Linked DNA regions of Rattus norvegicus. Each later gene encodes a partner of the first gene's protein in a complex. Links are inferred from orthologs where the notes say so. Each region holds a gene or a part of one and is shown in the gene's direction. Other genes may lie near its edges.

Region 1 (4,088 bases):
TGCTCTCGCTGTTCAGAGCGAGGGCCAAGCAATGCAGTTGTGATGTGCTCTCCCTTGCTTTTGCAGGGTGAAATCAGAGCTACGGCTTTCAATGAGCAGGTGGACAAGTTCTTTCCCCTTATTGAAGTGAACAAGGTAAGACAGTGTGGAGTCTGAGCTGACAAGCTGAACAGTGAGGGCCATGAGCACAGTCGGAAAGCTGCATCGTGGGGACGGGTTTGATGGCTGACTAGCGTCCCTGACTTGGCCTCTCTTGCAGGTGTATTACTTCTCCAAGGGCACTCTGAAAATCGCTAACAAACAGTTCTCAGCTGTTAAAAATGACTATGAGATGACCTTCAATAATGAGACGTCTGTCCTTCCCTGCGAAGATGGCCATCACTTACCCACAGTTCAGTTTGACTTCACAGGGATCGGTGACCTAGAGAGCAAGTCTAAAGACTCACTTGTAGGTGCGTCCAGGGGTGAGGGTAGAGAGAGGTGATTTTGTCTCCAGTGTTTGGGGTGATCGCAACTAGCGTGCTTGCCTTTCATCCCTTGGCCATGTTTTAAGAGGATCCTTGATGAGAGCTGTTACAAAGTGTTCTTTGTTTCAGACATAATTGGAATCTGCAAGAGCTATGAAGATGCGACTAAAATCACAGTGAAGTCTAACAACAGAGAAGTTGCTAAGAGAAATATCTGTTTGATGGACATGTCAGGGAAAGTGGTGACTGCGACGCTGTGGGGAGAAGACGTGAGTCCTTGCACTGAGCAGAACCCTGGGGTGGGGTTCTCGTCTTCCTGAGCTGTGGGACTTTAGCTCAGAGAGTAGTGCTGTCCAGCAAGCATTTGAAGTCCTCCACTTGTATGAGATGATTGCAGCTTCCCATAGTGCAGTGCTCCTTACTCTGGCTCACTCAGGAATATAGAGACAGATTAGCTTCCCTCAAAGTCTAAGCAGATTCTTGAGTCTGAGTCTGTCTGTATTCACCCTGTATTCGTTGACTGTTCTCCATAAAACCATCCGGTACATTGTTCTTGCCGATGATGTTTGTGTTTGCTTTGCAGGCTGACAAGTTTGACGGTTCTAGGCAGCCTGTGATGGCCATCAAAGGAGCCCGAGTGTCCGACTTTGGTGGGCGGAGCCTCTCTGTCCTATCATCTAGCACTGTCCTTGTGAATCCTGACATCCCAGAGGCCTATAAGCTCCGTGGATGGTAGGTTTTTGGAACTCAGCTAAGGGGTTATTTGTGTTCAGGCTTTGGTGAGAGCTAGATAGTGTCAGCATGTGGGCTTCTGCCAAGCTATTTTTGCCAAGCCTTTGCTATTGAGTGAAGTGGTTCCTATATTTCTTGGAGGCATTATGTCTTCGGAGATGGTGGCCTGAAAGCCCTCTTACACCGACAAGCCCACGATCCCCTGATGAACCTAGAGAGTCAGAGAAAGCAATTAGAACTTAAGTGCTGCGTGCTGACCTTGATCCCACCAGGTAGACAAGGTTTTAACAGCTGCGTGCTGGAGAGCAGTGCTGAGAGCATCTCCGGTTTGCGCTGTGGGCAGCTGATGTGGGGGTAGAATGTACCGTCTTACTCTGGTGAGGCTCTGGAGCTGGTCACATCTTCTGTTGTGCAGTCACTGACTCGGCTGTTGCACAGTGAGAACAATGGGCTCTTTGTTGCCTTTACATTGTTAGTCCCAAGGCACTCAAGGGATGAGGAGAGCTTGTTAGAATCTCCACACCATACCGAGCTTTTTAAGGCATTAAACTCTGCCTTGGAAGAGCACTCCATCCTCAGAGTGTCGTGTGGGAGGATCGAGGTGGTGAAAGTAATTTACCTAACCCGAGCTTAAGGAAACTGAATAGCTGTAGTCACAGGGTGGACATGTATGGTTTCCAGCTGTGCCTTAGAGTTTAGGGGACTCGAGAAAAAGAGCTCATATTTCATACTCCTCGTTTTTGTTTTGAGTCTGATATAAACCAATAACAATAATTAATACTTAGAGCGTCTGGGGTGTCTGTCACATGTCATGCTCAGTGGTGTCGGTCCGTCTGTGTAACTGCTGATAGCTAGCATTGCATCGTATGACAATTCCCTAGGATGACCAGAGACAACCATGGTATTGGTCTAGTTCGTTGGTTGGTTTCCCTCCCAGGCTCTGAGCACAACTCCAGGTTAATTGTGTGCCCGCATTAAGGAGTTAATATTTCACTGTCAGTAACTGTGATCACAGAAAACACAAACAGGCATGTCTGTCCCCTGAACAGAATACCGTCATTGATCTACGAGTTCAGTGCACACACCCCACCCAGACAAGGATTGGAGATGTTTAGATCCTGGCACTGACAGAGCGGATTTTTACTGTAAGAGCGGCTGCCTGTCTCCTGGCTCTGTTGACTCCTTATGAGCTGTCTTTGGTGGCAAATGCCTGTGTGAAGTTTTTGAAGCCTTAAACTTGTGTGGCTAGTTGTGGTGAAACAGATTTATGGACCTTGTCCTCTGGTGGATGTGGCTGCTTACCTGACAGAATGAGAAGGTGATTGTGGCCTAGGGCAGCAGCCACTCTGTTGGGTAGTCTCTTTTTAGGGAGTCAGTCCTGTGGGGGGAGCTTTAATTACCTACCACTCATATAGTTGATGGCGTCTTTAATCTCAGGCACACTGTTCTCTGCCACTACCCTGTCCTTGCTACCTTCTCCCTGGCCTCGTTTCCTTCAGATTAGCCAATAGATGGTCAAGAAGTATAATCAATTTTAATAATAATTTCATATAAATGAATTTAACCTTGATATTTCCATAAACAAATCCTCGCTGAGAATGCAGATCTCTAACACAGCAGATAATGCCTTCTGATGAAGTACATTGAATTCTATAACTGATTAGGCTTAAAAGATTTTCTCCCATGAAAACATTTTTGGCAGACTCATTAAACAAAAATGTCCCTTTTCATCTGATGCATTTTGGTGATTGGGGTGAAGGCTCGAAGTCTGGGGGACTGCCAGTGTTGCCTGCTGTTGCCGACTTTGTTCATGGCTGTCAGTTTGGAGCAGGGGTCTGTGGTACTTTGGCATTTCGTTTCTTTAGTGGACTGGGTGTGCTGGGACCCAGGTGAGAGCTGAGGGACAGAGCTTGTAGCTGGTGTATTCAAACAACACATTTGAGAAGGATGTAAAGTTCCTATCAGCAATATCTTTTTTCTCCCTAGGTTTGACTCAGAAGGACAAGCCTTAGATGGAGTTTCCATCTCTGATCTCAGGAGTGGAGGGACCGGAGGGAGCAACACCAACTGGAAAACTTTGTATGAAGCTAAATCCGAGAACCTGGGCCAGGGCGACAAGGTACCTCACACCCTTACTCCACAGAGGCCTAGAAAACGCCAGGGCTGAGCTTTATACCCGTTGTCTGGTGCTGGTTCAGGGCTGTGCTCTTACTGGGACCCCAGAGGCCCGCTCCAGAGCACCATGTTACTGCTCTTCAGTCATGGCCGGTGTAGAGACCATGCGTGCCGGGGGATGTATTGTAGCCGCTGGTGTGAGGCAGGACTGGTGTGGAGAGCTCTTGGATACTGAGGAGGTGGTGATAACCAGGCTTTGCAGGATAGTGTGTGCCGGCCTCAGGTCCATGTTGGATTTTGAACAGACCGTTCTCATGCTGCCGCCCTGCCATGGGCTGGCTCTGGTATTCCATTTCCGTTGCAGCTTCCATTTAAATGTGTTCTTAGTGATCCTCTTCCTACCTGGTCTAACCTGCGTTCTCTTGGATGTTTGAATCATTTATTTCTATTGTACTCTGAATACCGCTTGCTGCTGCCCCGTTATTGCCATAGTGTACAATATAGGTTTTCTTCCTCACTGTCTCATTTCACTGTGCGCCCGATCCATCACTGTCATCCACAGCAACTTATAATGCTATTACAGGACATCCTGAGAATTAAACGTCGGCTAGATTCCTGTTTTCTTCTCACCTAGTTGCTCTCTTAAACTAAAGACAGCCAGTAGACAGCCAGGACCAGGAATACAGAATACCTGTCTGCTCTCAGACTTGGGAGCAGGCTGAGTCTGAGTCTAACCGGGAAATGCAGAGAAGCTCTTTAGGCACTCTCCTAAAA
Region 2 (4,088 bases), on another chromosome or scaffold:
ACACGTGCCTTGCACATATGTTTTTTTTCCTTAAGAATCTCCAGACGTCAGTTTCCAGAATTTGATGCAGAAATAAACATCTCTGATAATTCCACATTACCCAACTCCATTCAAGATAAGACATTCATTTTCGTGAGACTCCCTGAAGAGGACAGCAGTTCTCAGTCGTCTAAAGGCAAACACCAAGCTGGTAGGTGTTTATGTTGGCTTGCATGGAAGTATTTCGGTTTTGTAATATTGCTATCAAACGACTAGCTGTGTATTGTTCGAGGCTAAAGGTAGGTCTTGCCCGTGAAAGATGGAGTACTAGAAATAAAACAACTGGAGAATCCTCAAAAGCAGGTTACTCTAGAGCAGTCGTTTTCAACCTCCCTAACACTGCGACCCGTTAGTTCAGTTCCTCATGTTGTGGTGACCCCAACCATAAAATCATTTCCGTTGCTACTTCATAACTGTAATTGTAATCTTACTACTGTTGCGAATTGTAATGTAAATGACTGTTTTCTGTGGCCTCCCAAGACCCCTATGAAAGGGTTGTTTGACCTCCTCGAAGGGATTGTGACCCACAGGTTGAGAACCACTGTCCTAGTAGTTCGTGAGGAAGTTCTTGAGACAGTGTAAGGACTCTCATTAAATACTCGAAGAGTCGGTAAGTGGCCAGAGAGGATTTTGTTTACAGAGCAATCCAAGTCTCTTCAGGAGAAAGTTGAGTTTTATTTAATGAAAATCCCTGTTCTTTTCTTCGAGGACATTGGTGACACTGTGGTTACTGTTAACACCACATGTAATTTGGGGTATCACAATGTTAGCCCGCCAGGGTTGAGAAGGGGCATGGGACAGGTCTCTTAAGCGCTTCACCACGTGTGAAATAAGAGTCAGGATTTTGGTGCCTGTGGAGCTAGGGGAGGGGCATCCATGTTAAGAACCACTGTGTAAGTACTAATAAATATCATTAAATTGGTTATTAAAAATAGTTATATTTGAGTATAATTGTCTTGGTTGACACAGCCTAGAGTCTCTGAGAAGGGACTTTTCAATTGAGGCATCACCCAGATCAGTTGGCAGGTGGGCGTGTCTGTCAGGGGTTTGTCTTGACGACTCACTGATGTGGGAGGGCCCAGCCCACTGTAGCCACTGCGGGCGGCACAATCCCAATGTAGCTATTCTTGGGCTGTATAAGAAAGCTAGCTAAGCAAGAACCAACTGAGCCAGCAGGCAGGATTGCTTCATGGTGCCTGCTTCAAGATCCTTCTTGGATTCTGACTCTGACTTCCTTCAGTGATGGAATATGTCCTATAAGCCAGATACATCCGCCTACATTGCTTCTGGTGTTTTATTACAGCAATAGAGAAGGAAACAGAACAGTAGAGGGGTTCTTTTGGTCTTGATTTAGATTTTAAAACTGACTTAGCAAGCTTGAAGCATAGTTTAAGGGTTTGGTAATGATTAGTAATGATTTAAATGATTCTTCTGAGGATTTATTATTATTATTATTATTATCATCATTATTACTATCATTATTTAGTTGCCAATCTTCTGAGGATCTATTGTAGTTGTCCCATAGTTCCTTACCATGCATGGCACGAAGCTTCCAAACCACCCAAGTCTGTCTTCGACTGTGCGCATGCCTGACCTCATCGTTCCTTTTAGCTTTCTATAAATTGGATAAGAAGATGCATATCTCGTGAGCTGGTTTGAACTACATATGACAGCTGATGTTTATGAGAAAAGCAGATACAGACTCTTCGTAGCTCGCTCTCTTTGCGACTCTCTACAGTATACCTCAAGCATTGTTTATCTTGGGACCCGTTCTGTATATTAAAGAGATTGTGCCTTTTGTTTGAGTGAGCCAGGGTCTTCTCAAGCTGACTTTGAACTCCTAATTCTTCTGTCTCCCCCTCCCTAGTCCATGGGGTAGCTGGTGCTGTCACGACCAGCTCATTAAAATGTACTTTCAAAAGAAAAACAAGTTGTCTGTTTCAGAGTGTGAGTGGCGCTTAGCTGATTCTCTGTTTTAATTAAAAAATTTGTGGGAAAATCAGCTTCTTCCTTAGGAAAATCGGGTAACTAGTCCTGACAGAGGCAAATAGCACTTTTTTATTAATAAATGGTGTAGTAAATTTTATCCATTGTTACAAAGTGCAGGGACCCAAGATAGGACCCATAATGGCCAGAGTTTCAGAGATGCTAAAACGTTACTGTAGAATAAAATGCCCAGTGCCTTGGACCTGTGAGACAGAGAGGAAGAGGAGGTGGAGAGTGGGAGACCTCTGGAAACTTCTGCTCTGGTTGACTGGGTTCAGAGACCTGAGGTCAGCTATTTTCTGGAGAGTGTCTTCATTGAAGAAATGAAGTGACTGTGATCAGCTGACTCTGTCTTTCTAGAACAGAGCACCACAGTACTCCATAGTTCACCGGCTCCTAGATGATACACAAAACCCTGCAGTGTTCCTATCTCCCTCCGCCTTTTGTCTTGAGACAGGACCTCATGTTGCCTGGGCTGCCATTGAATTTGCTGTATAGCTGAGGCTGACCTTGAACTCCTATCCCCTAGCCTCTCTCATATAGACCAGGCTAGACCCTATCTATAAAACAACAACTATGAAAACCAACCAAACCTGGGGTAGTGAGCTGGACATAATGGTATATGCCTGTCATGATGGTATTTTGTTAGTGGCTGAATTGTGGGAGGTTGGGTCAGGGGAGGAAAGAGAAAGCTGAGGTGAGTGAGGCACTGTGCTGTTAGGCCACTGGGCACTTTTGAGCCAGTGCGGCAGTATCTCAGTATTGCAATCTGGTGTGCACCAGCTCCCCATATGATAATACTTCATGAGTATGTGCTGATGGATTTCCAACTCTGACGGACTACAACCAGTACCTCAGGGGCTGAAACCTGGTCTCCATGGTCTTGCCACTGTTATGGCGCATGTCAGGGATGACGTAGGCGTTCCCGTGGTGACCTTGTATTGCACGTGGTGAGGTGTTTTACCTACTGCTTAGTAGGAATTGCTAGCCAATTTCCCCATAGAAATAGCATTATAATTTGGCAATTTTTCTGTTAACCTTTTTCTCTTTGCCAGATTTATATTCTGCAGTTAAAACTTTGCTTCAAGGGAAGGACTTCTGCAGTCCTGAAAGTGCAAAAACATCGCAATTTATTGCATTTAGAAGGTAAAATGTTTATAATGTGTTAATGTACTTTGTCCAACTCTTAAACTTCGTAAGTTATTAATGTACATTGTATTTAGGGGGAGATGCATGTAATTTCTCATTATTTCTTCTCATTCCTCAAAGTATCTTTTTATTAGACACATCAGAAGGTATTCTGAACGGGGCTGCTTTCTGTCAAGTATGCTTATATTTTCATTGGAAGTGCCAGTGAAACGAAATTTTATTTGAAGGTTAAAAATTATAAAATAGTTTTTCTCCAGCTGGGCGAGGTGGTCCCCACCTTCAACCCTTGTACTTGGGAGGCAGAGGGAGGCGGATCTCTGAGTTCCAGGCCAGCCTGGTCTGCAGAGCGAGTTCCAGGATGACCAGGACTACACAGAGAGACTCTGCTTTGATAAAACAAAAACAAAAAAAAAAAAAAAAAAAAAAGAAAGAAATAGTAACAACAAAAAATACTTTTTCCTAGAGAAAGTTCTAGAAACTCCTTATGGGATCTGCTCTGTCAGCAGGGGTGTGAGTGCTAGCATGCTTGTCTAGGAAGCACAGAGCCCTCAGTTCAATTCTCAGTATCACAACAACAAGTTAAACAATCCACTGCCCAGTATATGATTGTCTGTAAACATAAGCCGGTGTACAGTGTGTGGTGTTGACGTGACTCTGATTTTCGTGTGTTTCAGGCAAGACTGTGACCTCATCAATGACTGCTGCTCCAAGCACTACACAGACCACCTCATCAAGTGAGCATTTTCCAGACTGATCCTGTAGGGGACGGTCGTGCCTTTATTTGCTGTTCTCTTGTTTATATGTGTATTTGTCACATAGGGCCGCACATTCAAAAGTCATACACGTTCCCCCAGTTTCTGAAGCGTAATAGACTCTCTTCAATTAAATGGATTATATATCGTTAGGAACTGACA
Region 3 (4,188 bases), on another chromosome or scaffold:
GTATTAAACACAGGAAAACTGATAGGCACCATGGAGTGTTCTGTGCCGAGGGAATCTTTGCTGTTGAGCCTAGGAAGAGAAGCCAGCATGGGAAAAGCAGGCCACAGCCTTGGAAGCAGCCAGAGTGACAGCCAAGGGCCTGACAGGACTTTGGAGATAGGTGATCAGAGGTAGGATACAGTGAAGACATGTGGGACCTGGATCCTGAAAGTTCCAGATTAAGAGACCAGACTTTGGAGAGTTAAGCTGGTGGAGGCAGATCGCTGAGGACAGTGGAGACAAGGAGGGCCACTTTGCCGTCTGTTTGGTAACAAAGTAATCAGAATCCACTGAAGAACTGATCAGATGAGGAGGAGAGGATGCTAACAGCTAACTCCAGTCTAACAGTGAACTGGACGCCTCTATGTTGCTCACACTGGTTGCCTTGGATGTGGAATGGGAAAGCAGTCTCCTCCCCGGAGGCTTTAAGAAAGGAGAAGCTAGAGAGGGAGAGGAGCCTAAAAAAGAGGAGTTAGATAACTAATACAGACTTCCCGTTAACCCACAGGACACAGCAGGGAAATGCAAGTGTTGCTCTAGGCTGTTCTTTTCACACTTGAAGTAACTAAAACCCAGAGAAAGTTGAATGCATCCCAGCTGATAGCCCTCATCCTTGACACTGTCTGGGTAATTGGTAACGTGTACACAAACTACGTGTAGTGCTTAAGCCTTTCCACGACTTCCCAGTTCATCCCTTCAGCCCTGACGGGCTCAAGGCTCGGGACACTCCACCCAGCCATATGGTCCTACCCCATTGTGCCTCTGCTTCTGACAGACCCATCCTTCTACCCTTTTCTGTCCCAGAACCTTCTGATCTTTCCGTGTATTTATGAAGGTCAGTGAAGGATCCTGAAATCAGAATGAACAGCCTCTTTTCATGGTTCTTGAAGCAAGTTACGTTAATTTTTTTTTTTTTTTTTTTTTTTGAGGGGAGCTGGTGGTTGCTGCCACAACAGAATCATCCCTGGCCCTGATTGAGCGCGAACTTTCCTTGACCCTGTAACCCCACACACTAAAGTTAGTGACTCCAGAGGGTCTACTCTTCCCATGTTCGGACTCTGGTCCAGAACTCGATCCTTGGTGCAGGCACCTTGCTCCTCGGAACTGCATCTAATGTGGGAGCCCGGTGGAGCAGCAGAACTCTGCAGGGTGGGAAAGCCAGACCCGATGAAGGACGCAGGAGCGCTCCCTCCGTAGTCACGTGACCCAGGCCACACCCAAGGAAACGACTGAATCACGTGGCGCCGAGCTTAGGAACGTTTTTCTCACGTGACGGAGGAACCCCGGGTGGACCAATAAGGAAGCGGAGGCCAGGCTGGCGGCGGGGAGGGGACGGTGCGCGGGAAGAGAACTTTAGGCATTCCTAGTAGCTGCTGGGACTCGTTGTGGGTTGTATCCCGTCCCGGTCTGGTTGTAAAACAAGCTCGGCCTCAGTGTTTATGTACCATGAAGTGCCTGATCACTGGGGGCAACGTGAAGGGTAAGTTTAGACCTGCTTTGCAGCAGACCATGTGAGCAAGCCCCTGGAGTCCCCCTAACCACTTTCTGCTCTCCTTCCGTAGTGCTGGGAAAGGCTGTCCATTCGCTATCCCGAATCGGGGACGAGCTCTATCTGGAACCCTTGAAGGACGGGGTAAGAGACTGGGACGCAGGGATGGGGGCCGATTCAATGGCGAGTGGGGAGCCTAGGCTTGGCGTTCACTCGGCCTTACAGGGTGATGGTGGACAGGTATTTCGGCTCAGTTTATTTCCTCTTGAGTTGTTGGGACATCAGCTTGGGCCCTGTCTTCTGAGGCTGCATGTGTATACAGAGGGCACTTAACTCTTCCTAGAGCGCCTTGTGGCAGGCAAGGTGGGGCTAAAGTAACTTAAGGGAAAAACAAGCATGGCAGACCCTGAGCCGCGGAAGACTGGGAGATCTACATGCAAGAAGGTCTTGCCACACAGAAAGGGAAGGGGAGTTTCATTAGGAAGCGATGGAAGAGAACTGCCGCTGGATGAAATGCAGGGCATTTAGTGAGCCTGACGTGGCCCCTGACTATTATCTTCCCTGCTTTTTGTGCCTCAGCTCTCCCTACGGACTGTGAACTCTTCCCGTTCTGCCTATGCCTGCTTCCTCTTTGCCCCCCTCTTCTTCCAGCAATACCAGGAAGCTTCCCCTGGTCAGGATCTGCTGCGCTGTAAGATCCTGATGAAGGTAAGGACCACCTGAAGCATCCACAGCTGTGCCTGTGTCAGGTACTCAGTAAATGATGACTAGGGAGTTAGTCTCATATGGGAGCTAGTCCATGCAAAATGCAGTGAGGTCGAGATGTTTAGACTCTAGAGGGTTATAAGAGCACTGGAGAGGGTGGTGACATTCAGGTTGGTCAAGAAAAGTTTAGCAGCCCTTCCCAGCAAAGAGAACAGCATGGACAAGCCTGGTAATGTGCAGACATCCTGCATGCAGTGGGAGCCCCCTTTCACAGCTTTGTTGGGCCAGTGATGGACCAGGGCCTACATGGGATGTAGAGCTGGTCCATGGAAGCAGAGTGCCAGGCCGATGTCCTACCCTGCCCAGTCCTTCCTGTCCGTCTTCCGCTCTCTGGCAACGGTGGAGAAGACTGTGGAGAAGTGCTGCATCTCCCTCAGTGGCAGCAACAGCCACCTGGTGGTCCAGCTTCACTGCAAATATGGTGAGCAGGCAGCTGGCCAGCTAAGAGTGGGGGAGTGGAGTGAAGGCTGTCAAGCCCACTGAGACCATTTCCCCTATCCAGGGGTCAAGAAGACACACAACCTCTCCTTCCAGGACTGTGAATCCCTGCAGGCTGTCTTCGACCCAGCCTCATGCCCCCACTTACTCCGCACCCCAGCACGGTGAGCATGCCTGCTTCGGACTTCACCTGAGTCTCTCCCACCTTTGGGGCCTTAAGTGTTATTCTAGGATATCTCACTCTCAGAATGAGATGAGGATGGCGAGTGGGGAACCTAGGCTTGGCGTTCACTCGGCCTTACAGGGTGATGGTGGACAGGTATTTCGGCTCAGTTTATTTCCTCTTGAGTTGTTGGGACATCAGCTTGGGCCCTGTCTTCTGAGGCTGCATGTGTATACAGAGGGCACTTAACTCTTCCTAGAGCGCCTTGTGGCAGCAAGGTGGGGCTTCCCACCTCTGGATGGAGGTGGGAAGGTCAGAAGTTTCAAGGCCAGTGAGTTTCTAGGCTAGCCTAGGTATTATGAGACAGTCTCAAAAAAGGGTGCATATGCTGGGGAGATAACTCAGTAAATGTGTGATGTACAAGCATGGGTGCCTGTTCCGAGTCCTCGCTTAGATAAGAATGTGTAATGTCAGTTGGCCGGCGGTGCACGCCTTTAATCCCAGCACTTAGCAAGGCAGTGGTTTTCTGTGAGGACAGCCTGGTCTACAAAGCAAGTTGCAGGCAGGCAGGCAGGCAAGCAGGGCTACAGAGAGAAACCCTGTCTTTAAAAAAAGGAACCAAACCAAACACCAAGATGGGCAGCACCTGAGAAGCAGCAGCACTGAGCATGTCTTCTGCCCTCTGCCCATGCACGTTCACACAACACAAAAGCACCTTTGCCTCTAAGGCGGAAACTCGGGGTTTCTGTGTCAAGGCCACACATCGCTTACCTTGCTCTTCAAGAACAGAAGCTGCTGTCTCTCGCCATTCCCACTGACTGTGGGTCCTGCCTTGTGTATCCCAGAGGCCTGCTCTGCTTGTCTAGAGAGAACCTATGACCTGCCTGCAGATCTCTTTTTTTTTTTTTAAACATTTATTATGTATACATCACACAGCTTTCTGCCTGCATGTATGCCTGCAGGCCAGAAGAGGGCACCAGACCTGATTGTAGATGGTTGTGAGCCACCATGTGGTTGCTGGGAATTGATCTCAGGACCTCCGGAAGAGCAGACAGTGCTCTTAACCTCTGAGCCATCTCTCCAGCCCCCTGCAGATCTCTTGTATGACCTGAATAACCCTGACAGCCTGTCCTTGACCCTGTGTCACAGTTTCAAAGCCCTCTGACCTCTCACTCTTCTGGTAGTGTCCCTCTTTTTTTTTTTTTTTTAAGATTTATTTATTTAATGTATGAGTATACTGTCCCTATCTTCAGACACATTAGAAGAGGGCATCAGATCCCATTACAGATGGTTG

The links.
Region 2: the proteins of Rpa1 (region 1) and Helb are in contact, whole or in part, in a crystal structure (PDB 7XV1), measured with the Homo sapiens proteins. The link is inferred for Rattus norvegicus from reciprocal best matches to the Homo sapiens genes RPA1 and HELB. Residues at the interface, in NP_002936.1 of Homo sapiens: Asn29, Ile30, Arg31, Ile33, Arg41, Arg43, Leu44, Leu45, Ser54, Ser55, Met57, Ala59, Thr60, Gln61, Arg81, Ile83, Asn85, Leu87, Arg91, Val93, Ile95, Met97, Glu120; in NP_001357214.1 of Homo sapiens: Glu496, Glu499, Val500, Lys502, Ala503, Cys504, Asp506, Phe507, Glu508, Asp510, Asn512, Ala513, Glu516, Trp517, Thr519.
Region 3: the proteins of Rpa1 (region 1) and Rad9a are in contact, whole or in part, in a crystal structure (PDB 8JZY), measured with the Homo sapiens proteins. The link is inferred for Rattus norvegicus from reciprocal best matches to the Homo sapiens genes RPA1 and RAD9A. Residues at the interface, in NP_002936.1 of Homo sapiens: Asn29, Arg31, Ile33, Arg41, Arg43, Leu44, Leu45, Ser54, Ser55, Phe56, Met57, Asn85, Leu87, Lys88, Asp89, Arg91, Val93; in NP_004575.1 of Homo sapiens: Asp297, Phe298, Ala299, Asn300, Asp301, Asp302, Ile303, Asp304, Tyr306, Met307, Ile308, Met310.

What each region holds. Positions count from the first base shown.
Region 1 is NC_086028.1:60,656,346-60,660,433, reverse strand, and holds part of Rpa1 (replication protein A 70 kDa DNA-binding subunit), read left to right. Parts: intron 1-66; coding exon 67-135; intron 136-259; coding exon 260-452; intron 453-596; coding exon 597-736; intron 737-1,050; coding exon 1,051-1,199; intron 1,200-3,185; coding exon 3,186-3,318; intron 3,319-4,088. UniProt on the Homo sapiens protein: As part of the heterotrimeric replication protein A complex (RPA/RP-A), binds and stabilizes single-stranded DNA intermediates that form during DNA replication or upon DNA stress.
Region 2 is NC_086025.1:57,483,813-57,487,900, reverse strand, and holds part of Helb (DNA helicase B), read left to right. Parts: intron 1-35; coding exon 36-190; intron 191-3,080; coding exon 3,081-3,171; intron 3,172-3,848; coding exon 3,849-3,908; intron 3,909-4,088.
Region 3 is NC_086019.1:210,922,372-210,926,559, reverse strand, and holds the start of Rad9a (RAD9 checkpoint clamp component A), read left to right. Parts: upstream 1-1,398; 5' UTR 1,399-1,485; coding exon 1,486-1,519; intron 1,520-1,601; coding exon 1,602-1,672; intron 1,673-2,107; coding exon 2,108-2,236; intron 2,237-2,507; coding exon of another isoform or gene 2,508-2,599; coding exon 2,600-2,714; intron 2,715-2,795; coding exon 2,796-2,895; intron 2,896-4,188. UniProt on the Homo sapiens protein: Component of the 9-1-1 cell-cycle checkpoint response complex that plays a major role in DNA repair. The 9-1-1 complex is recruited to DNA lesion upon damage by the RAD17-replication factor C (RFC) clamp loader complex.